Canis lupus familiaris: one gene and its partners. The protein of the gene in region 5 purifies or fractionates together with the protein of the main gene of each other region. This does not show direct contact. Links are inferred from orthologs where the notes say so. Each region holds a gene or a part of one and is shown on either strand. Other genes may lie near its edges. The genes, in order: PDE4DIPP2, AKAP1, AKAP9, AKAP11, PRKAR2B and CDK5RAP2.

The links.
Region 1: the proteins of PRKAR2B (region 5) and PDE4DIPP2 purify together in Homo sapiens (affinity purification with mass spectrometry; 4 studies listed by BioGRID and IntAct, counting the BioPlex papers as one, with this or other methods). This does not show direct contact. The link is inferred for Canis lupus familiaris from reciprocal best matches to the Homo sapiens genes PRKAR2B and PDE4DIP.
Region 2: the proteins of PRKAR2B (region 5) and AKAP1 purify together in Homo sapiens (affinity purification with mass spectrometry; 3 studies listed by BioGRID and IntAct, counting the BioPlex papers as one, with this or other methods). This does not show direct contact. The link is inferred for Canis lupus familiaris from reciprocal best matches to the Homo sapiens genes PRKAR2B and AKAP1.
Region 3: the proteins of PRKAR2B (region 5) and AKAP9 purify together in Homo sapiens (affinity purification with mass spectrometry; 3 studies listed by BioGRID and IntAct, counting the BioPlex papers as one, with this or other methods). This does not show direct contact. The link is inferred for Canis lupus familiaris from reciprocal best matches to the Homo sapiens genes PRKAR2B and AKAP9.
Region 4: the proteins of PRKAR2B (region 5) and AKAP11 purify together in Homo sapiens (affinity purification with mass spectrometry; 3 studies listed by BioGRID and IntAct, counting the BioPlex papers as one, with this or other methods). This does not show direct contact. The link is inferred for Canis lupus familiaris from reciprocal best matches to the Homo sapiens genes PRKAR2B and AKAP11.
Region 6: the proteins of PRKAR2B (region 5) and CDK5RAP2 purify together in Homo sapiens (affinity purification with mass spectrometry; 3 studies listed by BioGRID and IntAct, counting the BioPlex papers as one, with this or other methods). This does not show direct contact. The link is inferred for Canis lupus familiaris from reciprocal best matches to the Homo sapiens genes PRKAR2B and CDK5RAP2.

What each region holds. Positions count from the first base shown.
Region 1 is NC_049238.1:57,944,201-57,948,007, reverse strand, and holds the end of PDE4DIPP2 (myomegalin), read right to left. Parts: intron 3,740-3,807; coding exon 3,713-3,739; intron 3,147-3,712; coding exon of another isoform or gene 3,120-3,146; coding exon 3,068-3,119; exon of another isoform or gene 3,062-3,067; intron 2,441-3,061; coding exon of another isoform or gene 2,385-2,440; coding exon 2,191-2,384; 3' UTR 1,001-2,190; downstream 1-1,000. UniProt on the Homo sapiens protein: Functions as an anchor sequestering components of the cAMP-dependent pathway to Golgi and/or centrosomes.
Region 2 is NC_049230.1:31,842,414-31,847,777, reverse strand, and holds the start of AKAP1 (A-kinase anchor protein 1, mitochondrial), read right to left. Parts: upstream 3,481-5,364; 5' UTR 3,293-3,480; intron 2,005-3,292; exon of another isoform or gene 1,985-2,004; 5' UTR 1,915-1,984; intron 1,475-1,914; 5' UTR 1,367-1,474; coding exon 1,223-1,366; intron 1-1,222.
Region 3 is NC_049235.1:17,682,386-17,687,316, reverse strand, and holds part of AKAP9 (A-kinase anchor protein 9), read right to left. Parts: intron 4,869-4,931; coding exon 4,763-4,868; intron 3,060-4,762; coding exon 2,877-3,059; intron 1,891-2,876; coding exon 1,690-1,890; intron 799-1,689; coding exon 566-798; intron 1-565. UniProt on the Homo sapiens protein: Scaffolding protein that assembles several protein kinases and phosphatases on the centrosome and Golgi apparatus. Required to maintain the integrity of the Golgi apparatus. Required for microtubule nucleation at the cis-side of the Golgi apparatus.
Region 4 is NC_049243.1:8,486,532-8,492,177, forward strand, and holds the start of AKAP11 (A-kinase anchor protein 11), read right to left. Parts: upstream 3,218-5,646; 5' UTR 3,081-3,217; intron 3,020-3,080; coding exon of another isoform or gene 2,876-3,019; intron 2,605-2,875; exon of another isoform or gene 2,551-2,604; coding exon of another isoform or gene 2,197-2,550; intron 2,044-2,196; exon of another isoform or gene 1,772-2,043; intron 1-1,771. Other genes in the region: atherin-like, read left to right, coding at 2,197-2,550, 2,876-3,019, 3,420-3,773. UniProt on the Homo sapiens protein: Binds to type II regulatory subunits of protein kinase A and anchors/targets them.
Region 5 is NC_049239.1:13,676,104-13,681,034, forward strand, and holds part of PRKAR2B (cAMP-dependent protein kinase type II-beta regulatory subunit), read right to left. Parts: intron 968-4,931; coding exon 861-967; intron 1-860. UniProt on the Homo sapiens protein: Regulatory subunit of the cAMP-dependent protein kinases involved in cAMP signaling in cells. Type II regulatory chains mediate membrane association by binding to anchoring proteins, including the MAP2 kinase.
Region 6 is NC_049232.1:73,961,377-73,966,363, forward strand, and holds the end of CDK5RAP2 (CDK5 regulatory subunit-associated protein 2), read right to left. Parts: intron 4,724-4,987; coding exon 4,597-4,723; intron 1,767-4,596; coding exon 1,720-1,766; intron 1,356-1,719; coding exon 1,299-1,355; 3' UTR 1,259-1,298; downstream 1-1,258. UniProt on the Homo sapiens protein: Potential regulator of CDK5 activity via its interaction with CDK5R1. Negative regulator of centriole disengagement (licensing) which maintains centriole engagement and cohesion. Involved in regulation of mitotic spindle orientation.

The DNA of each region.
Region 1 (3,807 bases), on a different chromosome or scaffold from region 5:
ATAGGATGTTGTTTCTTCCCTGGCATGTAAACAGGAGCAAGAACAGCAACAAGGTTGGTTCAAATCCTGGTTTAGTCATTCCCCCTGGCTCACTCTGAGAGCAACCTGGACCCATGATTGGGTCCATCCTTAGGTTCCTCTGAGAGGGGGAAATGTGGAGGCTGAGAAAATTAAGGCCATTCCACTTGAAGTTCAGCGTTAGCACAAGTACAGCCACCCCAGGCCCCTGTGAATAAGAGCTGAAGTTTACATTACTTCAGTTACAGGAAAAAAAAAAAAAAAAACAGTTTACAGCTTAAAGCCCTAGAAAGCCCTATTAGAATGAGAACAGAGCCCAAGCCAGTGGCAGAAAGTCCCATATTAGAATGAGAACAGAGCTTAACGCCCCTGAAAGCCCCATATCAGAATGTAAATAGAACTTGAGAAATTCCTCCTCCCCCCGCTTCTGGAGGTCCCCTAGACCATCCCATAAAACTAAGCTGAAACCCAGCTTGGTGTCCAAGTCCCTGCTCCGCTGTGTCGGGTACACTTGGACCCAAGCTCGAGCTTGTAAATAAACCCTCGTGTGTTTGCATCGGTGTCAGCTCCTTGGTGGTTTCTCCGATACGTAACCTTGGGCACAACAATCCATTCTGCTGATTGGGCCAGCGAGTTCCTCTATACTGACAACCAAAAGCCTTCATGGAAACACTTGAACAGCAGAGTGTGACAGCAGATGTGGGGTCACCCCATGGACTATCAGAGTAGGAGGCATCTCACCTGAGGTCTGACTCTTGTTGGATCTTTCTGTTACTGGTAATGGTGGTGTGAGGATAGTATTAGTGGGTTATGTTTGTGGTGATTGCCCAGGTTTGTAACTCTTTCTAGAAATAATTGTGGAGGGATAGCTTTATAGTAATCCTTAGAAGGTAAAGGTCATAAAACAGGACTCTTCCAAGGAATATTTGCAGATCTCTATGCCAACATTTATGGAGTGACTTACACACTTGTTAATCAAATGTCTTTGAGTAAAACAACTTTATTTATAGTCTTGGGTCAATGTGAAAGGACAAGTTTAAACTGTGGTCTGTAGCCCACCTGCATCACAATCACCTGGGGTATTGATGCAAGAAATGCAGATTCTGGGACCCTCACCAACTAAAACTCTTGGGATTGGAGCCCAGGAAGTGGCTCCTGTGATCTCCACTGCTGACTCTAAGACTCTCCAGATCTAAGAAGTACCCTCTAATATTTTCAGATTAAGGACTCTTAGAAAAAGACAAAGAAGGCAAGATGTCTCCTTTTAAATTTAGACTTCAAGCATTAGACTATGACCTTCATAGAGGCAGCGCATCTTTCATACTCTTACCAGCCTAGAGATTGGCACTGACGTTAGAAACAGAGCAGGTGCAGAAAAACGTTTTATTCTTTATACAGATTTTACTTTCATAGCCACCAGAAAGATTCTTTCATTTCCTCTGACAGACCCTGTCCACCTGTTATGTTGCCCTCCACATAGTGCTATAGTAACATACATAAATATCTATGGTACATTTATACACGCGTACATGCCTTCTAAAGCACTGCTAAGACACAGACTAGGCTTGCACACAATGGGGGCTTCTGAGGTGCCACTTAACGTGATCCCTGGTTTGTCTTACACAGGACTTTCAGTGAGCTTGGTCTGGCCGTGAGTCCTACTTGCCAGAGAGGAGTTAGGATGATGAAAAGAGACGGCATATTTAGAGTGAGGTCGCCACACTTTGGAGATCATAAGAGAATGGAAATAGGAGGTGCCAGGCTAAGCAGGAGATGGCAGGTGGGAAGCCACTGCTTTTACCAGGTGGATCAAAGCCCTCAGGTGCTGCAGTGTAGACTGATGCCCAGCCTGACAGTGTGGCCAGCTGACGTGGCCCCAGGTAAGGGTGGATCTGGGAGCAGTGCTGGCTGAGCCCCACTGGCCCCCAGGCACCTTTGTCACTTGTGTGCTGTGCTCTAGAACTGCTGAGGCGCTCCCATGTGGGGACCACATGTAGGAAGCAGGGTCCAGGCCCCCTGAGTTGACCATCTGAAGAAAGGTGCTGCAGTGAGAAATGGCTGCTGCGAGTTCCCAGGCCACGGTGGCCCTAGAAGCAGGGTCAGGAGCTCCTCTACAAACCCTGCATGTTTTTCTCAGTGCTGGGCTGAGCAGCCCCTGAAGGATGGTGTTCCTTAGCCCCAGGAAAGGCTGCCTTCCTTTCCCCCTCGTCCACTGGGCCATGCCTGACTCCTCCTGGACCCTCCAGCCAGTGCGGAGGAGTGGGGTCCAAGCCTCCTCAGCAGATTGGGACCTGCACAAAAGGGGGGCAGGCCCATCCTTCCTGCTGTTTGAAGGACCTCTGGGGGCTCCTCTTCTTGCGTGGCTCCTGGAAGGCAAGGGTCACAAGACTGGGGTGCTTGCCAGAGCCCTTAGGGACTTCACCTGGGAACAAAAATATAAGCTGAGAGCCCAGTATCAGGCCCTGCTGGTGGCTCCCTGAGCTGCAGTGAGCACTGGGCAGTGGCAGACCCAGGAGCTCTGTGAGAGCCTGTAGGGGGATGCACCCAGGGGCAGAGTGTGCTCCTGAGGATCCCCTGCTGCCACCAGGTCAGAGAGAAAGCTCCCCACCACCAGGGACAGGTGATGGCCCTGCTCAGAGCCATGATACACATAGTGCCCAGATCCCACACTCCCTCTTCAGGGGCCAGTTCCATCCCCAGTCACTTGGAGCAAAATGTTGCCTTCTGTGACCTCCCAGACAGAGAAGGGCTTGGTATGACACATCCACATGTAGTAACAGCCTATTGTAGGAAGGAGAGGACATTGTGCAGGGAGGTCCCCTGTTCAGTTCACACCCCATTTATTCATGAGGAGAGGAAGGGGCTGAGTCAGCAGGGAGCTCAGAACCCCCTGAGTCTAGTGCCCCCTCTTACAGATGAGGGGCCACCCAAAGCCTCAGGGACAGGGATTAGACACTGGGCCTTAGGTCCTTTCCATTGGTCTCTGGGAAGTGCAGAGGAAATGTCCAATCAAGGGGAAGCCAGTCCGTGTTTGGGGCTGTAGGGTTACCTTTGCTGGGGCAGGAATAAGGCTTTACAGAGGCCATCTTGTAAGTGTTCTTCTATAGAGGCTCAGGAAAGAAAGGAGTCAGCAGAGAAGAACAAAAGGGAGTTAACACCCAAAAAAAAAAAAAAAAAAAAAAGGAGAGTGAACTCATGTCCTGACCCATTTCATGCTGTGGGATCAACATTCTCTCAGGTTACAGTCAAGGAACCATCCTAGGAATAGGCCCCATTGCTCATGGCAGAGCTTTAAAGACCATGTGAAAGGTTTAGGTTCTGATTTGCAGGCCACCTGCTATTCATCATCAAACTTGCTAGGGAATGTATTAGTATTTTAAGGTAATGTACAGAATGCCTGCCATATGGTAACATGTCTCCTCAAGTTTCATTTTTATTTGTTACCAAATTCGCTTTTAGGTCAATAAGAACCAATGGTTTTCTTTGGAAAAAGTTGTATGAAAATTGAATTGCTCTTCTCAGCCTGATAGAGTATGCAGTGGAGCAACCGATTAGATTGCATCTTGTTTTCATGTGTTCATGAAGTGAATGAGAAGTGTTACGGGAAACCCTAGAGCTGGCCCCAACACCCCTTTCCTGGATGCTGATTCAGAGGCTGTCTCCCCATGTCCCCTGACCTTGAGAATCAACTCACTTGCTTTCCTCGGATTCCTGACTTGGCCTAAAGGAGGGAAGAAATGTAGAGAGGAGAGAAGAGGGTGACAAAGTGACAAGGAGCCGAGATGGCAG
Region 2 (5,364 bases), on a different chromosome or scaffold from region 5:
TGTGTGTGTGTGTGTGTGTGTGTGAAAGGAGGGAGTTGCTACCCAAGATACCAGCTGCCTCTCAAAATAGCTGGGAGCGGCCTCCACCCCTCTGGTACTAGAAGTTGATCCTAAGGGTCCAGCAGTCCACCCTCCCCTTCACCTCTGGAGAGTCCAAGAATTGCCTATAAGGCAGAGGCCCACACTCCCAGCCTGGTTTTGGTCCTAGTTGATCCACACATCACCCGGACCCTGGCCCCCTGTGTCACTGCCCCCTGGCCTCCACCTCATCCATTCTTTTCTCAGACCTAGTTCACACTGAACACAGGACCCATCACTGGGGACACAGCACTGCTCTGCAGTTTGCCAGGACACCTCTACCACTCTCCCACCTAAAAACCCTCCCCCTCCTCGTCCCACCTGTTCACCAGAGACTCAGGCTCCAAGCCCCTAAACCCACCATCCACAGCTCTCTACAGTCAGCTAATCACACCTCAGGAAACAAGTTTCTTTTTTTTTTTTTTTTTTTAATTTTTTTTAAATTTTTATTTATTTATTTATGATAGTCACAGAGAGAGAGAGAGGCAGAGACACAGGCAGAGGGAGAAGCAGGCTCCATGCACCAGGAGCCCCATGCGGGATTCGATCCCGGGTCTCCAGGATCGCGCCCTGGGCCAAAGGCAGGCGCCAAACCGCTGCGCCACCCAGGGATCCCAGGAAACAAGTTTCTATACCATTTCTGAGCCAGATGTCTCCTGCTTTGTGGCACCAGGGCCCCCTAGGACGTGTTTATTAACATGGCTACCCTGAGGCCACGTCACCCAACCAAAAGAATACTGTATGCTGCACCTAGGTCCCCAGTGCCCACCACTCTCACTCGGCCTACAGCTTAGGAGCCAGGAGACAGTATCCCTGCTCCTCCAGGGAAACTGCTTTTCTCTATGAGGACCTACAGGTACAAGAACTGCCCAACTGAAGTGCTCCCCCAATCTGAGAAAAGAGGTGTAAGGATCCCCAGACAGGAGAAGGCGTGCTTTGTTTTCTTCCTTGCTACCTAGGGCCTGTGATTAGAGGTATTAGCCATCTCCACCAAAAACAGAGCCAAGAGCCCATATGATCAGCAGCTGCCCCCCACAAAGGAGTCCCGCTGCCTGGAGGTGCCTCTCAGGGAGCGCCAGGTGACCAAGCAGTCCCTCACTTCCTTAGCCCTTAACTTCCAAGGGTCTTACCCAGCCAATCTCACCTCAGTTAAAAGACTTCTGGTGAATTGATAAGGTGCCATGTGCCCCACTTTACATGGTCTGATAGGCCTAGACAGGGGCTGTGAGAGGCACCAACCTTTCCTGAATTCACAGACAGGGCCGCCTTCACCTGTGCATATACACATAGGCCCACATGTGCAGGTGTGCACACTTCAGCCTTATTAAGCTCTCTGCTACCTTCCTTCTCTGGAACAGACTCCTGAATTGCTCTCTTTGCCCTGGTTTTTGGTTTTCTGTAAAAAAAAAAAAAAAAAAACTGAACTTCTCCAGATCTGAGTGGCATTTAACACCATAGGTCTAAAAGCCTCACACTCACAAGCTAATTGAAGGCAGCCACCTCCCCCAGGGCCTCCCCCCTCCTGAGGCCCCAGACACTCAGGCAAGCCAGAGAAAAGCCTTGGAGAAGGATACAGCACCCTGCCTGAGGGTTGGTGGGGAGGAGACATGGCTATTTTGAATCTGTTGGAATTAAATAGCTGCCTGCTTATTTTTAGCAGGTCCATTTGCCCGGGAATAGATGCACGCTGGCTGGTTGCCCAGTGGTCACACAGAGCTGAAGGCAGGCACGTGCCGTGGCCCCACAAGGCCTTGAGGTTTACCTGCTCTGTCTGAGTTCTAAAAGGATTCCTTTCCTTTCTCCCAGAGGAACCTGCAGCTTCTCAGAAAAGCTTACCTCTGGAGAAGTAATGGCCTCACTCCCAGCACCGATGACCAGCCCAGTTACTGCAGTCTAGAGCCTTCTGCTAAACAAGAAAACAAATTTCTGGGAACAGTACAAACAGTGTTGGTCCCAGTGACTAAGCCCATTTGGCTGCAATTATTGTGGGAAAAAAGAGCTGCATGTAATTAATTGATGGGAAAGTTGATCATAAAAACAAGCACTTAGTAGCCAAGTGGCCATCAAGTCCACTGCGGACTTAGGCCTGGTCAGTGAAGTCACATCCACTCAGCATTCTGAATGGACTTTTCTATACCACCCCATCCCCACACCCCACACTCCTGGCAAGTTGAAATTTGAACATTTCCAATATTCCAGGGTTATGTGTTCACATTCCCAAAGACTGGCCCCTGGTGTTCAAGACACTCCATCTCTAGAATGCCCAGGACGTCAAGTTGTTCAGGGGCTTTTCCCCCTGAAGGGGGTCTTCAAAGGACAGGAACAGCTAACATGATCCAAGACCTGAAGCCCAGTATTTCCTACCACTGCATTCAGAGAACAGCAGGCTATGGGCCAGGTCAAGGTCCCCCCTCCCTTCTTCCATCCCATCCCCTCAACCCGCCCCACCAGTCTACTGAAGGAAGACCACAGAGGTCTGTGCAAGACCACAGAAGGGCCTCTTAGTTTCATAGGATGCTTTTACCTGATTCCTCATCAGGTTGAGGTTACGCACATACGTTCACTCACGTAATAATTCACACATAAATACGCTTAAGTTGCTGCAAGAAAAAGATTCTGTCCACCAGAAGCTCACAATGTGTACTGAATAATCTGTGTGTCTCTCACACACAGACCTGCACCAAACTGAGCCCAATATCAGAAGTAGGCAACAGAATCCAACTGCCTCAAAGGCACCAAGAATTTGCTCAGGTTGCAATGGTGGGTTAAAGACGTAAATTAAGGTTCTAAACCCAAGATGCCTTTGCGGGTGGAAGGGAGCAGCAAGTCCCAGACCAGAACAAGTCCTGGGAGTGAAGCTGAAGAGCTGGTAGGAGGCCAGATAAAAGGAGTTTGACCTTTACTGTCAAGGCAATGGGAACAAGTGGCAGCAACTGAAACATAGCCAAAGCAGAGCAGGTCACAAGAGGTAAAGGCCAGGGTGATCTCCAAGTGGCGACTACAGTCCAATATTGGCAACTACTTAGTCACAGGGGGCTAACTTGAAATGTGACCAGTGAAACTGAGAAACTGAATTTATATTTTATTTAATATTAATTGAAATAGCTACATAATGCTAGTGGCTACCTAAAGGATAGTATAGTCCTAGAGGGCCTTCCCAGCAGACCAGAAACAAACATAAGACCTAGATAAATGCTGTACAGCCAATGCCTACCTTGTTGGGTGGTATCTGGTGCTGCCACTGAGGGTGGGGGATGGTGGTAAGCTGGGCAATTCACCCTCAGCATGGCTGGGGCCCAGGAATCAGAGTGCTGGAGCCATGCCTCAGGGACGTTGGTCTCAGCCCAGCCCTGATGTTCAAACAGTTGTTACCTTCATCCATAGGGGGCCTGTGTGGGCTGTGACTCATGTTGGCACCCTAAAGATTCCAAATTAGCTCACAATGGGGCTGTGAAGTCCTCCCCATACTGTCCCCACATCCTTCATTGTGATGGCCCCACAGAGCAGCCAGGTGAGGCACCGTGGCCAGCCCATCCCCACTCCCGGTTAGGTAGATCAGCTGTCCAAAAGTCATAGAACGCTTCCCAGGCTCTTCTCCAGGAGACTGAGGGCTTAACCCAGTACCATCAGGGTGTGAGTACCTGCTCGGTGAAGTCTTCTCCAGGCAAAATGGAGACCCAGAGTCCAATCCCAGGAGCTCCAGGTAAGAAGAACCAGAAACAAAAAATCCCATCTCTGGACATGGTCTCAAATTAAGAATTGTTTCTCCTCTAATTCAATTACAAATTAAACTTCCAGTTTGGAAAACTTGGTAAAAAAGAGAACCCCCCACACAAAGGTGAAATGCCCAGTCTCCCTTGTTCTGCTGACCAAACACTGGGCAGGTCCAGTCTCATTAAGTTATAAAGAACAAGGCTGGGGGGGGCGGGGTGAGGGGTGGGAATCAGCATTTTCTACAAAGGTCTTCCCATTGCTTCAGTTAGGGAGTAGGAATGAGGTTTTCAAAAACCTTAATAAAAACCATGTCACATCCATCCCCAGCTCTTGGCAACCACATTGTTTTACCAGTAAATTCTGACAAATCTCTGAGGATAGTGATAAAGCAGGTACCAGGGAAGTGTTTCTAGGTACACAGAGTTTCCATCCATGACCACAGAACACTACTCATGACTGCCCAAAAGATAGGAAGTTGTGCTCTGTCAAAAAGCTTACCCAAAAAAGCTAATAAAGGTGACACATGCCTTCAGGAGAAATTAGAAGATGGTGTGAGGCAAGCAGCCCTTCACACCATCACCTCAGGTGGGCAGATCAACAGGTGAGATGCTGATTTTCCAAATGGCAGATGGTAGAATATGACCAACCCAAAAGTCACATAAAGGCCTAATGTCATTCCTATCCAACAAATACTTATGGACACCTATAGGGTACAAAGCACAGCAGGACACAGAAATGAATCAGAACGTACTTTCGAGGCACTTTCAAGTCTCACAATTTCTTTTTTTTTTTTTAAGATTTTATTCATTTATTCATGAGAGACAGACAGACAGAGAGAGAGAGGCAGAGACACAGGCAGAGGGAGAAGCAGGCTCCATGCAGGGAGCTCAATGTGGGACTCAATCCTGGAACTGCAGGATCTCACCCTGAGCCGAAGGCCGATGCCCACACTGAGCCACCCATGTGTCCCAATCAGTTTCTTTTTTTGGGGGGAAAAAAAAAACAATGACCTTCCTCAATGGGCTGTTGGTGCCACCCTTAGCCACTGACCAAGTGACAATTTTGGTCCAAGAGTCAGGCAAGTATCCTGGATGGGATGGGGGACAAACAGGAATTAGGCTGCCAGTTTCCACAGATTAGAATGTTCTAATGTCCTGGGATGGAAGAGGAGAGGTTATTAGCCTGAATGCCAGCACTGTGAGAGCTAAGAGGGCTTCAGTTATCCCATTCCATATGCACTTTCATTCCGTACCCATTTTTCTCACTACCTAATGCCCAAATCCAGATCTCCTCTCATTTAAACTATTTCATAAAGTGCAGCCAGATCTTCTGCTGGCATGGTGAAAGGGATGTGGGCACCTCATTGTCTTTGCTAACTTTCCACCAACCTTCTCATCTTTGGCACACCCCAAATTCATGCCTTCAAAAGGACTTGTCCTTGTGCATGAGTTAGCTTGCTTCTTGTCAGCTGCCTACCCTCCCCCACTTTTTCTCAGCAAGCTACTGAACGATGGGCTCCATCAAGACAAGGGAGCAAACCAAGAAAGGATGGGGCACCCTTCCACAAAGCAA
Region 3 (4,931 bases), on a different chromosome or scaffold from region 5:
AACTACTAGAGGAAGAGTTACAAAAGCTTAGAACTTAGTAGTTCCTAGCTTAGAACTACTAGAGGAAGAGTTACAAAAGCACTAGCATAGTCCAATGCCCTAAAGGCTAACCTTCGGTTTGAATGCAGATGTTAGGCCAGGGCTTTGTGTAGCTGAACCCCATGAGTGGGTTATTTTAGCAATGAAGAAAATGAATGTGTAGCCTAAGTAATTTTTCAAAAACATTTTTTTCCCTTTTGTGATTCCTTTTATTTATAGGTCTGAGCTAGTTCATGGCCTTATTCAGAGTTAAAAAATAAAACAAAACCAAAACACAATCCAGATGGGATGTGCCAGCTCTGAGTTACTAGCTACCTGCACCTGGGAAGCCCTTTTTATAGGATCTTCATGGTGCAATATAAGGTATCCCTGGCTACAAGAATGAAAGAAAGAAGTCGGCATGTTTTATTGATGATAAATGTCTCATATACATGAATACGGAGCATACTAGGCAGAGAAAGGAGAGGATTAAAAATCTAAATCCTTTCAGATTCTATTAAAATGCATTTTATTTCCAACACTTTACCTAGAAATTGCCATGGACACTCTGACGGCTGACCGAAACCTGGTGAAGCCCCTTGGACGATTGGTGATCACCTCTAGGTCTGTGAAGGCTGGCTGTCCCCCCATCCGGGCCAGCAGAGCCAGGGTGGCATCTTCACATTCCTGAAACCCACCCAGTAATAGCAGCAGGTATTTCTTCTGATAAATGAGCGCTTTCCGAAAACTTTCTGCCCTCAGGTATTTACCATAAATTCTCTATGTTAAAAAAAAAGGGGGGAAGAACATAAAGACATTATTGAAAAGCCATTCAAATTGTTCTCTAGGGGAAGATAACATAGATTTTATTTTACAAAAGTACTAGTAGTGGAATGGCAGATATCCTACTACTGTTTTCCATTTGATCAGCAAAGTTGAAGATAAAGATAATCAACCTTAGATTTTACATTTCTGCCTCTTTTTAGTCCATGGAATGTGACTACAAACCTTATACTTAGGTTTGGGGTTTCATTTTGGAGTTTAGGCTCTATTCATCATATTCATTGCAAATATTTTTGTCATTCCATTATTATCTCAGTTTTTTTCTCCTCTAACTGCGTAGAGCTACTTTTATTATTACGGTCGCTAATCTTTTTTTTCTTTAAAGTTTTCAATGTTAATGTTCTCTGTCTCTTCAAGAAGCATAAATTTATGTTCACTCCATAGTTAAAAGAAATATTCCAAACATGTTTCTTTCTGTTTTGGATTTTATGTTAACAGATTAAAAGCAGTTTTAACTACAGTATTCATTTTAGTCAGGAGAAAGGCAGTTCAGAGGGTTTACCATCTTACAGAACATGATGCTCTGGTATTGAATGTAGTAGAGCTTTTGTTGGCAGTAGAAATGAAACTTTCTGTTGGTCTTCAGGGATGAAATGGTGGGAAGCAGGACCGTGAGCTCGCGGTGCTGCCAGTACGGCATGCCTTGCCACCAAGTTTTTGTGACCAGCTGGAGGCCTGTACTCATGATGCACATCGAATAGTGAGAGACCTAGAGGCAGCCTGAGCGCCACCTAAATTTCTTTACTCTGTTCAGTTAAGGTTAGTGAGAGATGAAACAAGGCAAGAGGACCAGCCTTGGTACATGTTTAGATGGAAGATGTCTCCTACCTTTATAGCAGCATGCTCTGAATCAGGGCTCAGGTTGTGAAGTAAAGTTTCATTTCTTAGTTCAGCTTTCAGTTTATACACTTCAGCTTCTGCTCTTTTCAAGGATTTTTGGAGAGTCAACTTTTCTCTGTTCCAGATTTCTTTTTCAGAAGCAATGATGGCTTCAATGCTGGCACCACCACTGAATGAAAACCTGGAAGACTGCAGAAACGAGAGCCCACTTACATGAGTTTTAGGAATAAGTCTCTGAAGAAAAATCTAAATTAAACACATTAAAGGTATCCCCTATGGGATCTCAGCTTTCCAATCTCAGAGAGGGAGAGTTCAACAGCGATCTCAATTGATAGTAAAGAATATACATTAAGTATATGGTCCTTTGCTTAGTAGATTAATTTTAAAACAAAATCTTTATGGAAGCCTCACCCAAAAGACAGTGCTTAGATTTTTGCAGAGCTTTGAAATATAAAGTCTAGAGACTTAATAAATAGACCGACCATCTGGGTTCAAATGTAGAGCCTAACCCTGAAACAGCGCCTTGGGGGAGTGCGGAAAAAAATCCCCGGCTATACACAGGGAAGTGGATCCATGCAGAAGCTCTGTGGATGTGTTATCCTGTATTTGTCTCAGGAGTCCTTTCTATCTTTATATTATATTCCTATCTTTATATTACAGAAGCTAGCAATTTATTTTGTAGTTTTTAACTGGAAAAAATTTTAAATAAACTGCTAGAGTGGTTTATTAGACTGAAATAAATAATTTAATGGCATCTTTCACTTGAGTCACAAACATAATAACTGATAATTAACTGATGAGGAACAGTCAGAATTCACATTTGAACATTTCTTAACATGGACCCACTGGTGGTTCCTAGGTAGCAAAGTATCTGGCTTTGGAGATAAGCAGTTCTTGATTGGACTACAGACTTCAGTTTTCTCATGTGCAAGACTGAATGTGGATTAAAGATTCTGAATGTACAGAACCCAGGATCTGGCCCAGAGAAGGCCCCCAATAAATGATATCTATTATTATTATTATCATTATTATTGTCATCTCTCTACCATTTTTCAATGATCTTACTAAGAATCAGATATCTAATATTTTTATATTAGAGTTAAAAATTGAAACTAGAGAGTAGAAATTGTAACTCAGCAATATTTCTAACATGGTCACACTAAAATCAGACGTACATAATCTCTGCCAGCTCCTATCTGTCGATACCGCCTGATTTGTTCTTCTAGCTTCATAACTGTATTTCTCAAATCATTCTTTTCTTCTGTCAGTTGGCTGATATGTCCTGTCAGCTCAGCATTTTGTCTTAGCAGTCTTTCAGTCAACGAGCCACAAGAAGTACCAGGGGACACTAAACCAGGCTAGAAAGAGAAAATGGTACTAAGGTCGTGTAAGCACAAATGTTTATGAACAATGCACATCAACATGTGAGCAGACGCTGAGAACACCAGATTTCATGATGAAGTGGTGCTTGAACTGAGTCTTAAATAACTAGGAAGCATTTCATAGGTAGGAAAGAAGATAGGGAAGAGCATATTAAGCAGAAGGAATAGCATGTGTAAAGGCACAAGGGTTTTGTTGGAGAGTGTGTTGCTTTTCAGGAGCTACAGGTTGCTTGGTTACGTTAGAGTAAAGGCTGCCTTCACTTTATAGATAATAGACCTAAATGGAGGCAGCAGAGAGCCCTAAAGGCTTTCAGAGTGTGCTACAAACAAAATTTATGTCTTAAAATATTCCTTTGGGGGCACATGAGTGGCCCAGTCAGTTAAGCATCTGCCTTTGGGTTGGGTCATGATTCCAGAGTCCTGGGATCGAGCCTGTGTCAGGCTCCCTGCTCAGTAGAGAGTCTGCTTCTCCCTCTCCCTCTCCCTCTGCCCACCTCCTGCTCATGCTCTCTCAAATAAATAAATAAATAAAATCTTAAAAAAAATTCCTTTGCTAGCAGCATGCGAAGTACAGTAAATTAGGGAAGATAGATCCTGGTGTCAGGTGGACACATCAGGAAGTCATTACAATAGTTTAGGTGAGAAATACTGGAAGCCTGAATAAAGGCAATGACTAAGGGCACGTGGGATATTTAGGAAGTAAAAGCACAGGACTTCATTACTACTAGGATACACAAGTGAGAGTGAAGGAAGGTAGTCTAGGGTGACTTCCAAATTCCCAAAGTGGGCTCTATCAGGACCAGAAACATGGGTTGGGGACAGAAGGAGGAAAAAAAGAAGATGCTCAGTTTAGAATGTGCCTGTGAGGTTCCTAAGGGGTCACTATGAGGCGCATTTCCCCAGAGAAAGAGTTCCTGTAACTAATGGAAAATATAAATCTGGATCACAGGATAGAGGTATAGACTAGAACCACAGACCACTAGAAGATAGAGATCTAAGTGGTCAGATCGTTATCACATTTATTCATTGTAGCCCAAAACCCAGGGTAGTAACTGGCACATAACACATGCCTTATGTAAGTATTTGTTCAATAAATACGTCTACTGAGAACTCAGGCTGTGGGAATAAATGAGCTTTCACAGAGGAAAAAAAATGGATCAGGATAGGAGGAAGAGGAATTCATGAAGGTGACTGATGAAAGAAATGGAAGAAATATACTGAGAATATACGGTCACAAAATATACTGAGAATATACTGTCACAAAAGGTAAAAAAAGGAGGTTTTTAAGATGAGAGAGGTCAAAAGTATCAAATGCTACAAAAAAATTAAAAAGACAGGGAATGAAAAGATTCATCAGATTAGTTAACTATGAAGACAATGGTGGCATTCTGTGGGTGGTTTTGAGAGTGGTGAGATAAGCCAGACTTGATTATCATAATCTTGAAACTTAATTATCATAATACAATAAAATGCCACTATAGTTATTCAACAATGATAATGAAAATTAATTTCCCCTCAAATTTTCATTATTGTCTGTTAGGGAAGAACAAATATTAATATTTAAATTAAAAGACAAAATTAAAACTCTTTAGAAAATACAGTGCCAGTTTCAAATGATTCACATAGCTCCATTAAATCTTTGTTATTGATATCTTATAAAGAGTTTTTAAAAGTTTTACCTCTTCCCCTGGCTGGCCGGTTAATTTTTGCAGTTGTAAAATAATTTCATCAATATTTTCCTGAACCCAAATGAAGTCTTCATCATCTGCTGTTTCAAACTGTAGTCTTCAAGGAAAAAGACAAAAAGTCAAAACAGATCTTTCTCAATTAGTGGTGTTGACTAGCACA
Region 4 (5,646 bases), on a different chromosome or scaffold from region 5:
TCCAGACCACCAGGCCATTTATCTTTTTTTTTTTCACGAAAAAAATCTCAGATTAATCCAAAAATGTTAACGTTTCTCCTTTTAACCTGTTGAGTCTCTATACACTTCAAACGCTTTCTCTAGTATTTAACAATAAAATGAACTTTTATATGCAAAGACGAGTAGAATAAAGACCTTCGGATCTTCTGGTCTGTTTCAAAACTGGTAATAGTATTTTTTCTTTCCTTTGCCTACTTTACCAGTTGACACATCCTCATGTCAAGCTCAAACTAAGTGTGGATCTCTTCCTGGCCTGTCCCATCCTCCGTCCAAGTGGGTGACTTTATTATTAAAATGCAGACCACCTGACAGAAAGAGAACAAATTCAGTTTGCCTAAAATATTATCCTACCCTAAACGACTTATTTTTTGAGAGTTTATTTTTAAGTAATTTCTACACCCAATGTGGGACTCCAATTTACAATCCCAAAATCAAGAGTCACATGCTCTAAAGACCGAGCCAGCCAGGTGCCCCACTTCAGTTACTTTTCAAAGGCAAGACAAATCAACAAATATCCACATGCTAAAAGCTTGAAACCCTTACCAAAAGGTTATAAAGACTAGCACAGAATTCGATTTTTCTGTCCTTGAAAATCAGTCTGCCACGATGGAATGGGAGGGAGCTTTGTAAAATTCAGACCTGTCTCTTTTGCCCATTCTCAAAAAAGACATTTCTTAAGTTTTTCATATTTTCCTTAAGTATTTAAAAGAATCCACTGCCTATTTATAAGCGGAAATTTCCCTATTTCCAGACAGTATGTTCCTGGAATTAAAAATAAAAATAAAAATAAAAATAAAAATAAAATAATAATAAATGTACTATCTTTCTTCTAGCCCCTACAGATAAAGGAGGATTTCTTTGGCTTCTAGATTTATCCCAGGAATTTAGAAGCTGAAGAAGCTCCCTTACTGTGGTGCAGGGTATTTAGCAAGTTCCCCATCACTAGCCTAGGAGTCTATCTCTAGGACCTTAGTTAGCAACAGTGCAATTACATGGGTACATTTATTAATCACTGGTCACCAGTTTAGCCTGGGAACCCATTTGTTCTGACTGCCTTACGTTCTTTGATCTCTCATAAAGTGCCCTGTTACTCACAGCCACAGCTAACAGCGAAATCCATTCTCAACCCTGGGGTTGCTTTGCCAGAAGGAACATAAGAAAGTAAGAAAATCCGTGGTACTACTTGCAAAAAAATAAAAAAAAGGTGACCAGACGTTTAACAAGATTCATTACTAATGCACTATTTTAACTCGACACTGATCGTGCTGGGAACCGTGCTGCCAACTGCTGCTCTCAAGTCCTAAACGAGACCTTAAAACCATCTTTGCATTCCTGAGTACCTTAGAATTCTTGAGTCCTCTCTATCTTCTGAGTATTTTGCAGGAATCTGATACTCAGATACTGAGTGTCAGAATCAGTATCAACCAGTGTCACTGTAACATCACCTCTAACAAGCGGTGGGAAGCAGCTTACGTGTTTTGCAAGGGGCTGGGTAACTGCGAAGCTGAAGAGAGATCCAGAATGCTTAACCCTGGTTTGCACTTAAGACCATTAGGTAATGCGTGTCAGCTCTATTTCTCAGCCTGAAATTTCCTTAACACCCTTAATTCCAAAACCGGCTCCGGCTGAATCAGGTTTGAGAACAGAGAGAGGGAGAGCACGAATTCACGAGCGCGCTCTGCGCACACCCCTGGTAGTGGTTTAGATCCTCCCCCTGCCGTTGCCATCTTACCAACGCTTTTAACACTTTGGGGTCACCCCCGCCTATGTGTGTGCAAAGCAGAGTAGGCAGGCGCCTGGAATAATAAAAAGTACGCCCAATCCATTCGCGACACGGAATGGCGAGGGCATCTAAACCGTTAACGACGAGCAGCCTCGGAGGACATCTGACAGCACGATGCAAACCATCCAGGCTCCGGGGAGCTGCTTGGCGCCTTCCGTTTCTGTCCCGCGATCTGGGCTGCGCCAGGTTCCAGGGCTCTGGGGTCCTGACACTGAAGGATGCTGCTCGGGGACAAAGTGCAACGTCCTCCACCTCCCCCTCCCCCTCCCCCTCCTCCTCCTCCACCTCCTCCTCCTCCTGCAAACGCTCCCGTGCGCACCCCACGGACACTGAGCTCCCGCACCGGAGCCCCGGCTCCGAGGACCACCCCGGGGATGCACACCGAGCTCGTCATTCGGCGGGGGGAGGGGAGGCTGCACCCGGGCCGCCCCAGTCCGGACCCCGGGGGACCCGTCTCGAGCCCAAGGACACCCCCTCCCCCCCCGACCCAGCGCCGCGGGCTTCCTCTCGCCGCCCAGCTCCTCCCGCCCTCCTCCCACCGCCGTGCGGCGGCGCAGCTCCGGGCAGCCCCGAAATCCGAGCGGGGGCTGCGGGCCGGGCCGCCCCTTGCACCCCGCCCCCGGGGCCAAGCGCGGCTCACGCTGCGGGAGGCTCCGCACACGCCTCACCTGGGGCCGCAGCCGCCGCAGCTCCCACGCATGTCACCGGCCCGCAACCACCAGCCTAGCGCGAGCCGCCGAGCGGCCGGGCGCCCCCCTCCCGCCCCGGCCCCCGGCCCTCCCCCCTCCCCGCCCCCGCCCTCGCCCTGCCCACCCCCGGCTTCCGCCGCCGCAGTTCCAAGCCCGCACCACCACCTAGTCCCCACGCCTCCCACTCATTCTCGCGAGAGGCCGCGGCGCCTCTCGCGAGAGAACAACTCGGTGGCCGAGCCCGCGCAAAAGTGGGTGGGCTTTTTAAAAAAAAAAAAAAACCTTCCCACGTGCTCTGGGGCCGCTCGCCGGCGGGGGCGGGGCGTGCGTCACGTGACGCCCAGGCGGCCTCCCTATTGGCCAGACTCCGCCCGGCCGTGGGAGCTTTAAACTCCAGGCTGACCTACGAACCTGCGGCGAACGTCATGCGCGCTTCCTGATCCGTTACCTTGGAAACGGCTTAACCCTTTCCTCCGGCAAGATGCTCAGGCGCTGGCCGGCCGCGCAGGTTTGGTCTCGGGCCCTTCCCGCGTTCCTTGCCCGCCCCCCCCACCGCGCCTTGGGCTCACCGCCGTGGGGTCAGCGGGGCTGGGCCCGCCGGGCCGTCTTCGGGGAGCGGGGGCTCTTCCCAGAGCGCAGCCCCGGCACCTCTGGCGGCCTAAGCGGGGCTCATCCTCTCGGCGTGGCTCCGCCCCTTCTCCCCGGCATCGCGGGCGGGGGGGGGGGAGGACCACTCAGCGCTGCAGGCCGCCGGCCCTCCCCGAACCTCAGCGAGGAGCATCGCGGGCTCTCCGGGCCCTAGTGCTCACCCTTCCCGACGTCCGCGGTGTCGGACTCGGGAAGTCAAGCGTGGGTCCCCGCGGGGCCCCCGAGCCGCGCACGATCACCTAACTGTTATTTGCGTTTAGGACCGGGAAGGCCTAGTCCGGGCGAGTTGCACAGCCTCCTCGGCGGACCTCTCATCCAGGCGGGAAGTCCCCGGAGGATGCGGAAGACGTTTGGAACTTGGCATCCTCGTGATGAGGAGTCCTAACCCCTGTTTGGGAGATGGGGGGTCAAAGGGTGCAACCCTCGTGCATCCCATTTCTGCATTGGGCGGGCTGCTGCAGATGTCAGGCACGGCTCCAGGCCGTGGATTGAGCAGCGATGGGGGCAGAGGAGTCTGGGTGCTTACGGGGGAGGAAGGGGAGAAGGACAACAAATGTTGGGGGGCGTCAAGCTCAATGCAAGGAAAATCACAACAGTCGATGCTGCGATGGTGATGGTGATGATTGGGCGGCTGCTGGAGGGGCGGGCCTTTGGAGGACACGCGGAAGCCGTGGTTTGCTTCAACCGCCAGGCTGACGTCGGATGGAAGAGCGTTCCAGGCAAAGTGAAGAGCGAATTCAAAGGCCTTGCATTGGGTTTGATGGGGGGGGGGGGGGGGGGGGGGGGAATAGGAGAAAGTAAGAAGAAATAAGCTTGGAGAAGTAAGCAAACATAGGCCGCATCCTGTAAGGCTTTGTAAGCTGAGGAAGGAATTGTTGAGGATTTAAATGCAACAGAGAGCGATGGAGAATTCTTTTTTTTTTTTCTTTTAAGATTTTATTTATTTATTCATGAGACACAGGCAGAGGGAGAAGCAGGCTCCATGCAGGGAGCCCGACGTGGGACTCGATCCAGGAACTCCAGGACCAGGCCCTAGAATTCTAAAGAGGGGAGGGGGCACCTATGCTCTACCCTTTTTGTCTCTAAAAGTCTTCCCTGCAGAGAATGGAATTTTTTTTTTTTTTTTAAGGAGGTCACAGAGGAAGCAAGGAGATTGAGACTAGTAGTCCCAACACGGACACAATCCTGAAAGGCCTAATTTTCCAATGACCTTGACATTCCTTTTCTTAGAATCCATTAGGTCAGAGCCATGGTGCCCGGCTGCTGCCTTTTGTTAAAAGCATCTGGATGCATCTTCAGTTACTGCTGTTTAATAAGAGAAATGAGTGGAAACTTTTTTGTTACTTGGGAAAATGAATGTCCCAAAAGGAAAGTCATTATTGATTGATTGATTGATTTTTCTCTATGGACACCACACAGATAACTACCTCTTCTATCTATTCCTAAAGTCAGTTCTATGAAAAAAAAAAACAACAACAACATAAAGTCATGTTCGGTGCAGATATTTATTTCCTAATTATAAGATGTGAAAAGATAGAGGTTGAAGGTTTAGGATATGAAAATGTTTCACTAAAAGAATCAGAAATCAGGAGACTGTATTGCCACCGGAAGATCTCTCATTAACTGGTAAAGTGACCAAATCAAGGTTCCTTATCATTCCTGAGTGTCAGCTTCCTTCATACATAAAACAAGACAATTTAACTAGCTTACACACAGAGTGGTTAAGCCTGAATTACACTTTGGCATGCACGCATCAGTAAGACGGAAGCTGGAAAGGGAAATGAAATTTTTGTAAAATCTAAGAGTCAGCAGCGCAAGCCAAATGAAATTGGATGCCCCTACTCTTGCGTGTGTGTGCACGCACACACACACACACACACACACACACCCCAGCTGAGGAACTATGAAACTGGTTCATACAGATACCAGGAATGCTTCCCTAAGAAACCTTGGCCTTCTCAGAGTGTGAAAACGGAAGCATTGCCACCTGTTCAACTTCATATTCCCTGTAGCTATTTTGAACCCACGTAGTATTTAATAATGGTTCACATGTTCCTGATCAAGATTTAAGAAATAGAAAATCTTTAAAAGATCCGAGGCGACATTTTAAAGTTAAGCTAACACTTTAATGTTAATGAAAATAAGATTTCAAATAAGCACTACTTTTTAAAGGGGAAAAATGCTAAAAAGAGAAAAGGCATTATTTTAGCAAATTAAGACTATTCTTTTAAAATGCTGAAAAAAATGGAGCGCTCTCTTTTGCGTGCTGTTTGCAGTCCTCGTAATGATTAACTGAAACAGCTGCTTGGTACTTCTAATGTAGTTGAACAATGGACTCCACTCCACCACTCTTACATATATTAATAGAGCCATAAATCCTCCCAACTCACCCTAGCAAGACAGACCTTGGTCTCTTTTGCTAGCTACAATTATTTGGAGTACAATGAATGTGAAGTGAGAAAAAATTGAAGATCAAGATCCATTTCT
Region 5 (4,931 bases):
ATGGGGTGTGATTTCCCGCATGGCTCAGAGCTGAGTACAACTCCACCCAGAGAAGCAAATGCAACCCAGGGAATCCGGCTGAGAGACGACCTGTGTGGCACCCATAATGGGAGGGGCCGGGGGTGCCGACTGTCTCATGGACACTTCAGCATCACTTCACAGAAGTGAAGAAATAAAGCCTCTGTTCAGACCGCTCCCCTGGTACAGTTTGGGGCTCTTAACCTAATTATCGCTTAAAGCACACTGTGCTTTGACAAAGTAAAGCACAACGCAGGTTTTCTGAAATCACATTTTTCAATATAGTGTATGCCTTCTCATTTAAATAAAATAATTTCTCTACAATGTTTCAAAATAACTTCTCTATAATGTTTTTAATGCACAAGAATGCATAAACAATTTCTGGAAACAGCATAAACTCCCCTCTCTACCATGCGCATGCTTTACTTTATAGTTAATGAAAAAAGAACAGACTGAGTTATATGATTCAACACCCCAGATGCTGTGCGCTGCTTGCCTTCGAAGTGTAGCAGGCATCCTCTCAAGCCAAAGTTAATAAGTGAGGCAGCTCACAGTAAATGATTGAGATTTATAGATCGAACTAACCAAAATCCTCCTTTCTTCTATAAACTATGCCTCTTTCCATGATCTAATGTGGTTTCACCACACGTATTCCCAGCGGGCTTCCTGTGCCTTTTATACAGTAACGAGAATAAAGAGGGAACAGTGAATATTAAAAGCTAGTGAATATTAAAGAGGTAACAGCAACTATCGAATATTAATCTGCCAGTTGTTATAAGAACCACTGAGATTCTACAGGGATGGTTCCTTACATTTCAGCAGTGAGGTTACGCGAAACTTACCTATCGATCACGTAAAAGTTGTCACCATCATCGCCTTGATCAATTACATGCTCTCCTTCTTTGACCAGTTTTTCAAACATGGCATCTAACACTTGAGACATCTGTTCCTATTTTTTAAAGAGAAAAGATACAATCTTTATGTTTGTCTACGATATGTTCTCTTGACTGTAATCAGCTTTGTATTTCTGTGAACCAGCTCAAAGAAAAAGAAATATCATCACTGCCATTAAGTCTTGTCAAAAAAAAAAAAATACACAGTGCAGTTGTCCTTACCACCTAACAAAGGAGATTATAGATTTCCTTTCATATTCAGTACCTGAATGAAAGTAATTATAATTAGCTACTTCAGAATATTTCAGTGCAACGATCACCCAGTTTAATATATTGAAAAATGAACCACCAAACCACCACAGACCTTATACATGAAATAGAATCTTGGCAACTAAAATGACCAGGTTCGTAATGAACTACTGCAAATATCTTTTAAAGATAACTGTTTTTAAAACTTCCCTATGAAAAAAAAATAAAAAATATAAAAAAATAAAACTTCCCTATGTTTAGTCATCACTAGGATTTATGTAGGGATTACCTAAGTACTTAGTGAATCCAAATTCTGCCTCCAATCCTTTTGGTTGAGCACTAAAAACAAAACAACAGAACAGGAAAAACAAAACAAAACATATGCAAACCCAAAAATGATGGCAAATTTGAAACACTATTCTTTATCATGACGGTTCTCTTTAAGAAGCAACCATTCACCACCCTAGGACAGATTTATTAAAACAGAAGCCAGAAACATAAAACCTATTCTTCAACAACTACTTAAGTTACATAAAATTTTTATTCTGCTGAAGCGTGGTTGACAAGGCTTAAGGATAAACTCCAGCTGGTGAGAATAAACTAGAAGGTGAAGAACAAACAAATCTTTCCGCAGAACAAATACAGGAACAATTCAAAGGCCCTCGAATACACAAAAGAGCTCGGTGTTTCTCAAACTGGGTTTTGTGGAACCCAGGGATTTCATGGAGGTGCTTCAGTGATTGATTCAGCTCATTTAATTGCCCCCTTAAAGTGTATGTGAGCCATTAAATATGAAAACTAATGGAAATCAAAATGCTCAGATGAATTATATATACACAGTTTTTTCATGAGGTTGAATTTCTCATAAAATTAACCACGGTTGAGTGAACGATTCAGTGGCCACAAAATTGTGCCACTACCACTTACTTCTTAGTTATAAAGCATTTTCATCACCTCAAAAGGAAGCCTTGTGCCCACCAAGTAGGCATTTTGCGATTCTCTCCTCCCGCTGGCCCTTGGCACCACCTACCTATTTTGTGTCTCTATGGATTCCCCTAATCTGGATATTTCACACAACACAATCATACAACATGACCTTCTGCATCTGCCTTATTTCACTCAGCATTTTGAGGTTCATCCTTGTTCTAGATATATCCCAACTTCTTCTTCTTTATAGATGAATAATATTCCACTGTAAACATACCACGATTGGTTTATCCATTCATCCATCACTGGACGCTTAGATTGTTTCCACCTTTTGGCTATTTATGAATGTTTATGTCAACTCTTCTGGGTTAACCCTAGGAGGGGAACTACTTGAGTCATACGGTAATTCTAGGTTTAACTTCTGAGCAACTGCCAAGCAGTTTTCCACAGCGCCTAAACAGTTTTCTTTCCCACCAGCAATGTACTAGGATTCCAATTTCTCCACATCCTCACCAACACTTGTTATGTTTCCTTCTTAAAAAAAAAAAAATTATTCCCACCCTATTGGTGCTGGGCTGGTACTTCATTGTGGTTTCAGGATTGGCAATTCCCTAATGACTAGCCATGTTGAGAATCTTTTCATGTACTTACTGGTAACTCGTGTATCTTTTTTGGAGAAATGTCTATATTCAAGTATTTTGACCAATTTTAAGTTGGGTTGTTATTTTGTTGTTGAGTTGTAAGAGTTCTTTATGTATTTTGGATACTAGGCCCTTATATGTAGGATTTCCCACATATTTTCTCCCATTTGTAGATGTCTTTCACTTTTTTCAATATCGTTCTTTGATGCACAAAATTTTTATTTTTTATGAAGTCCAACTTCTTTTCTTTTCATATTCCTGTTTTTGGTGTCTACCCAAGAATCCACTGCTAAATCCAAGGTCATGAAGACTTACCCTTGTGGGTTTTTTTTTTTTTAAGAGTTTTTATAGTTTGGGAGCTCACATTTAGGTCCTGGATCCATTTTGAGTTCATTTTTGTGTACAGTGTAAAGGAGGGATCCAACTTGGTTCCCAATTGTCCCAGGACCATTTGTTGAAGAGACTTTTCTTTCCCCATTGAGTGGTCTTGGCACTCTCATCAGAAATCAAATGAATATCAAATTAAACATATAAATCAAATGTATAGGTTTGTTTCTAGACTCTTAATTCTATTCCATTGTTCTATGCATCTGCCCATGCTATTAACACATTGTTTTTATTCCTCGTGCTCTGTAGTAAAAGTTTTTTTAAAAAGATTTATTTATTTTTAGAGAGAAAGAAGAGAGGGGCAGAAGAAGAGAATCTCAAGCAGACTCCCGCTGAGCATGGAGCCTGACGTGGCGCTTGATCTCACAGCCCCGAGATCACAACCTGAGCTAAAACCAAGAGTTGTATGCTTAACCGACGGTGCTACCCAGACACCCCTGTAGTAAAAGTTTTGAAATTAGCAAGTGTGAGTCCTCCGACTTTGCTCTCCTTTTTCAATATTATTTTGATGCTGTGGGCCCTCCTTGGCTATGTTTGCAATTTTTATAAATTAGACAACAGCAAAAGGTTAATGTGTCTTCCTGGTTTTGCTTTATAATACATGAATGTTAGTAATCTCAACCTTTATAAACTAATACAATAATTTTTAAAAGAATACAAAACCTCTATAAATACGGCTATATTGTTAAGTAAAAAGAAGAATGAGGCAGGACACTGTGGAAAGTTTGCTGCCACTGAAACTTAAAAAACAATATACTGCTCTGTAAATCACATGACCCTGGAGAAATACCCATGAGAATGCTCTAAGCACGTGGCTCCTGAGAAGCTGGGTTGCTGGAAGGCAGGGGTACAAAGGGGATTTCCTTTCCCCGACTCCTCTTTTGTTCTTTTTGGATTTTTATAAATTGTATAGGCACACAGACTTAAAACTTTTCATTAAAAACCCCAGCTCTGGGCAGCCCAGGTAGCTCAGTGGTTCAGCGCCTGCCATCAGCTCAGGGCATGATCCTGGAGACCCGGGATTGAGTCCCATGTCCGGCTCCCTGCATGGAGCTTGCTTCTCCCTCTGCCTGTGTCTCGGCTTCTCTGTCTCTCTCATGAATAAATAAAATAAAATCTTAAAAAAAAAAAGAAAACAACAAAAAACCCCAGCTCTCCATTTAAACAGAAAACATACTATTGCATCTTCACATTGGCTAAGCAAAGCTTCTGGAGGAACGATGGTGGCGAGTCCTGCAGGAAGTGGTTTTTATCCCCTCCCTGGGTCCCTGCGTGAGCTCTGACACCTACTTGTGAAACAGGAGCCCCTGCAGAAGACGAAGCCAATGTGACCGTGAAGCATTGCTGTCTGCATGTGGTGCTAATTGGCCCCACAGGGACCATTTTATCCAAATGAGTTCATCAACTAGGCAGCATATGGTCACCTATCAAAATTATGAAGTTTGATTAAATGGTTTACTAATATTTTGTTTCACTTACTATTCATATTTAAACTCTTTTAGGCCAGATGGAGAGGGAATATCAGGCTTATTGATTAGCTCTTTCTCTAAATGTCAAATGGAGAAAAAAAGATATACTGCTCTAGTAAATTTTTTTGTTTTTCTTGGTATTTAGCTGCATTTTAAAACTTTATAAAGCTTAGGAATTCACACACGGCTACATAAAACACTAATTCCTGGTAAAATACAGAACAATCATTTCTTCTAGGACGTCTCAATGTGACAGGTGTCTGTTCTAATCAATCAAAATGCAATTTCCCCATAATTATGCACAGAGTGAAAAGAACTTAGGAAATATTTAATATGCAGGGGCTTAT
Region 6 (4,987 bases), on a different chromosome or scaffold from region 5:
AGGCCCGGGGTGCTGGGCCCTGCCTGTGGGCTGCGCTCCGGGGAGGGGCTGCAGCGAGGCCCCCACCCGCCTCCCCCAGGAGGCCCTCGCCCGAGTCGCGGGACCCGTCCAGGGGCACGCCACAGCTCCCCGTGTGTGGTCCGTCCTGGCCCCGGGCCTCGCTGGGCGGGGGGGCGCCTCTGTCCTGCAAACACTGGCGGGGGGGGCTGTCGCAGGCCCAGGAGGGACAGGAGGGGCAGGGAGCAGCGCAGTGGGCAGAGCCCGGAGGGAAAGCGCAGGGCCCTGGAGGGGAGAGGGGAGGGGGAAGGGCAGGGGGTTGGACAGGGGAGTGGGGAGAGAGGGCAGGGGAGCAGATGGGGTGAGGGGGGTGTGAGAACAGGGGAGGGGGCAGAGGACGGGGCCGCGGGGCAGGGCCAGCCGTTCTCCCACCGGTGGCAGCCCACGACCCAGGCACTGGGCAGAGACAGGGGGGTGGGGGGGCACGCGCCCACGGGGGAGGGGACCAGGCCTGTCCCCCCAGGACGGGTCTGACCCGGGTCACAAGGCCGCAAGTGGAAGGTGGCCGGAGCACGAGAGGTGGCAGCAGGGCTGGGCAAGGAGCGCCCCGCGGAGGGGCCGGGGTCCCAGGGGTCGGGGCCACTCCCTGTGCCGAGGGGCTGGTATCCCGGGGGGGTCAGGGCCGCTCCCTGTGCCGAGGGCTGAGCCCCACCGCGCTCACTGCTCGGGGACAGCGAGCAGCTCAGGACAAGGACGGGCCAGTCACACACAGAGGCTGCGGCCAACACGGGGCAGTGTAGGGACAGTGGGCTGGAGAGGCCGCCGCCCCCCGGGGACACCGTGACGAGTCTCCACGCCGGGCCTCACGTGGACCCTTCGTCCTAGGAGGCCATTGGGGCCTGCCCGGAGGTGATGCGCCCCCTGCGCAGGCCGGATGCAGGCACCGCCCGGCCACCCCACTCCTCGCCGGCCACGTGACTGGCCGACACCCCGGCCGCCCCCGCGGCTCAGGCCCGGGGCTCCAGGCGCTGCTGGGAATGAGCGCACCGCGGGGTTGCAGGGCCCCACGAGGACCTTGAGGCTGCAGAGCGGCTGAGCGCCGCGGGTGGGGCGGCCCGAGGCCCAGTGCGGAGCCCGACGGCACCCGAACGCCGGTGACGAGCCCCCTGAGGCCGGCCGCGGGACAGACGCCGCGAGGGGAGGCAGAGTCCTGCAGCCAGCGCCCGGGACCTGGAACCCACCCGGGGAACAAGCCACAGCGTCCGCTCGGCGGGAACCACAAGCTTTATTGGCAGGAGGTCTCAGGAGCCCGGTCGGCTGGGGCTGGACGTTCCAGGGTGGGCGCCCCCGGGCCTCAGCTGCGAAAAGGAGGAGAAAAGGAGAGTTTTAGGTCCAGCAGAGGGCTTCTGAGGCCGAGTGAACGCGCTTTCAGGGACACGCTGTTGGAGCAGGCAGCGCTCTCGGCACCAGCGGCAGCGACGCCTGCCATGCTCCCTCCTCTGAGGCGTGTGCCGTCCTCCCGGGGGGATCAGCAGCGCGACCGCGACCACCACCCCAGGCCTGAGCCGCGCCACCACGTGAAACTGTGCTGCCGGCGGAAAACAGCTGCTGGTGCAGGACTCGCACCTGGTCCCCTTTGGCCCCCGGTTCCTGACGAGGTCATCTGCTGGCCGGTGCCCCCGCCCCGGGCCCCCTTCCCTAAGGGACCCCGGGGGGCATTACCTCCAGGTTCCCTCTGGCCTTCCGAAGGACTTTGTGGGTTATGACCACTGAGGAGAGAGAGAGAGAGAGAGAGAGGGACGGTCAGACGGGTGCCCCGGGCGTCAGGCCCCCTGCGGACAAGCCTGGGGCGCCCAGACCGGAGGCGGAGGCGGGTGTGGGAGGCTCCACCCATCACGCGCGCCGAGACCACGTCGCCCACTGGGCCAGAGGCGCCTCCGCGAGTTCGTGCGAGGCCAGGACATCGCGGGTACCGGCCCGCTGCGGGCTCAGCAAGGCCTGCGGGCACCCGGGGACCCGGGTCACCCCTACGGGTTTGGGCGACGGTGCAGCGCAGGGCCCGTGGCTGACTCTGAGAAAACCCGTGCGCTAAGGGCCACGGCGAGGGCCGCAGAGGCAGGTCCCAGCGCAGAGCGGACGTGAATCTGCGCAAGGCCATGACCTTTGGGCCCTTTCTCCTTGGGCCCTGCAGCTGCTAGAACCCGACACACTCCCGGGATGCACTGTGGAGGGGCCCCAGGCCGCGGGTGCCACCTCCGCCCCAGACCCTCTTCTCGCCCAACACAGCCACCCCCCGGCCACTGGGAAGCCGCCCCTGCCGGGAACCCGGAATCCTGCCGTCCGGGTCCCCGAGACACCCTCAGGGCGGGACCACGCACGGCCTGGGGAAACGCTGGATTCCGGCCCGAGGAAACACATCTCCCGAGTGACGGTGTTGGCGAATCTGAGACACTGGGGCGGTGGGCGCTTGTTCAACCGGCCAGCCCTGCCTCCAGAGGGGCCACCGCCTGCGCCCCTGCAACCCCGCGAACCCTCGCCGCGGGCAGGGGCTGCTCCTCTCAGGACTCGCCCCACCGGGGACGTGGGGGGGGCAGAGCCCGGCCCTGGGGTCACGGCCCCTCCCCGGTGGGCTGTGGCCGAGGCCTGGAGGTAGACAGGGTGACACCGAGTTAGCGGCCACCCGCCACACACGGACCCCGTGCAAGCTCGGGAAGGGGGCCGAGACACCGGCCGTGTCTGTCGGGCACGTGCACCGCGGGGTCTGGGTGTCACCATCCGTCCGGACGAGAAGCGGGCAGTTCTTACAGAGTCGTGGTCAGGACCCAGGCCGGGGCAGCCGAGGCCTCCCAGCGACCCCCGCGTGTCGGGGACAGGACTCCGCAGCTCAGGAGGGAACGTCACTTACTGCAGGTCACACGGGGAGAGACCTGCACTGCGCTCGTTAACGGCACCAGGGTTGTGGCGAAGGGCCCAGGCCGGGCTCGGTGCTCTGGATCCCGGGAGCCCGCCCCTGACCCCGGCCAGCAGGTGCGTTAGCCCCGTGCGCCCGGACACAGGCCGCCGCAGTCCTAGGCCCCGGGGCCACTTCCACCCCCACCCCCGGGGTCTGGCCAAGGGCTCCACCACGGGTGCTCCACGATGGGTGCCGCCCCAGACGCCCGCCAGGCTCCTCAGGACACGCGTGCCGTGGGGCCCAGCCAGCGCCCAGGCCAGCCAGCACCCACGGGGCGGCCTCCGACCTCCTGCCACCATGAGGACGCCCCGCCTCCTGTGCCTCCTGGCCGTTCCCCCCCCCAGCCGCGGGGACCCTCCGAGACAGAGGGACTGCACCAGCCCGTGCCCTGCCCCCCACCCCCCTGCCCCGGTCCCACCAGGCGACTTGGCTTTGTCTCTCAGCAGGCCCCTTGGCACATCCTGAGTATGTTCCTGGCTCACCCCGAGGCCACCTGCCGCCATCTGTGCCCGCCCGCTCGCCCACGCCAACCCGCCCCTCCGGACCCGCGCAGTCGGACCCCAGGACATGGCCCTGCAGCCGGCTCTCATGTCAGCCCTGAAGCCAAGGCCCTGTGCTGGAGGGCGGCCCCCTCGCCTCTGTGCCAGGCCCGGCACGGGGCACGGAGCACAAAGTGAGTGCCCGCTGCACGACCCGGCGTCCAACCCTGCCAGGGTCACGGAGTCGGCTTCCAGAAGGTTCTGGGGGACAGCTGAGGGGAACCATGCCCACCAGCAGTCTATGCCCTGGGCTTCTCAGAAATGCCCCGAAACACCGGCCCCCGACAGGAGCGGCACAGGCAGCCTGGTGCCCCCGGAGCCGCGAGGGGCCACCACACAGCGAGTGGGCCCGGGCCGAGGTGGCCCACGGCTTCTCCGGGCACAGGGAGCGGCGGCCCACCACCCCGGCTCCCGGCAGGGACAGCGCTCGCCTTACCAGTGTCCCGTAGCCTCTCGGAGCCCGAGTCCCGGGTCCGCCTTTGAAGTATTTCTCAAGACCAGCCGGTCCCCCAGTCCCCCGGCCGGGGCCCTCCTCCTGGCCTGGCCGGGGGACCGGGGGCAGCCGAGCAGGCCCTTCCCGCACGCCAGCACCGCGGGGCTGCTCCCCGACGCCTCTCACGACGCAGTCCTGGCCAGTGACCCCCCCACCCGCCGCGCGGACCGCTCGAGGCTTCTCCCAGACATAGCCTGACGTGCTGCCCGTCGGCCCGTGTCCACGCCGCCCCCTCCGTCTGACCAACACCGCCCCTTCCGCGGGCTCCGCCCAGCTGTCCCTCTGTCCAAGAAGCCCACGCCCCCCCCACTTCCCTGCCCCTGTTCCCTACCACCCCGGCCAAGGTCACGTCAAGGTCCCGGTCAAGGCAGATGCCAGGCACCCGCCGCCCCAGCGAGAGGACCGCCCCTGGCACCACGTGGCCTGCACGGGGTCCGTTCAGTGCATCTATTTGCCCGTGCGGGTCAGAAAGGACGAGCTAGGACAGGAAACCCACAAACAGGAGGCACGATGACAGCTGCTGTGGGCCTCCCAGCGGGTGTCCAGCCCGGGGCTGTCGGGGCTCAGGGCGGCAAGTGGGCAGACACAGCGGCCCACCCCCAGCCGTCACTTACACTGATCAAAGATGACTTTTTCCTGGTGCTTGCTCAGCTGCAAGAGCTTCAGAGAGTTTTGCAACTTCTTTTCTTGTTCAAACAGCTTTTTGTGTAGTTTGGTGATCTCTGCCTTCATTTCTCCAGTCTCAAGAGAAAAGGAATTGGAAAAATGAGCAGAGAATACAAAACATCCTATCACGTGGGAAAGAATCAAGACACATAGAAAAAGACGCTCCCCCTCGCGCAGAGCGGCCCGTGAACGACAAGCAGGGCCCAGCTCCCGCGCCCCGACCTGCAGGACCCGCGCCGTCGGGAGCGCTGGGGAACCAGGACGGCACAGGCCCCGGCGCCCTGCCCTGCAGCACCTGCCACGCTAGCCCCCCATCCGCAGCCCCGCCCTGGGGGCACC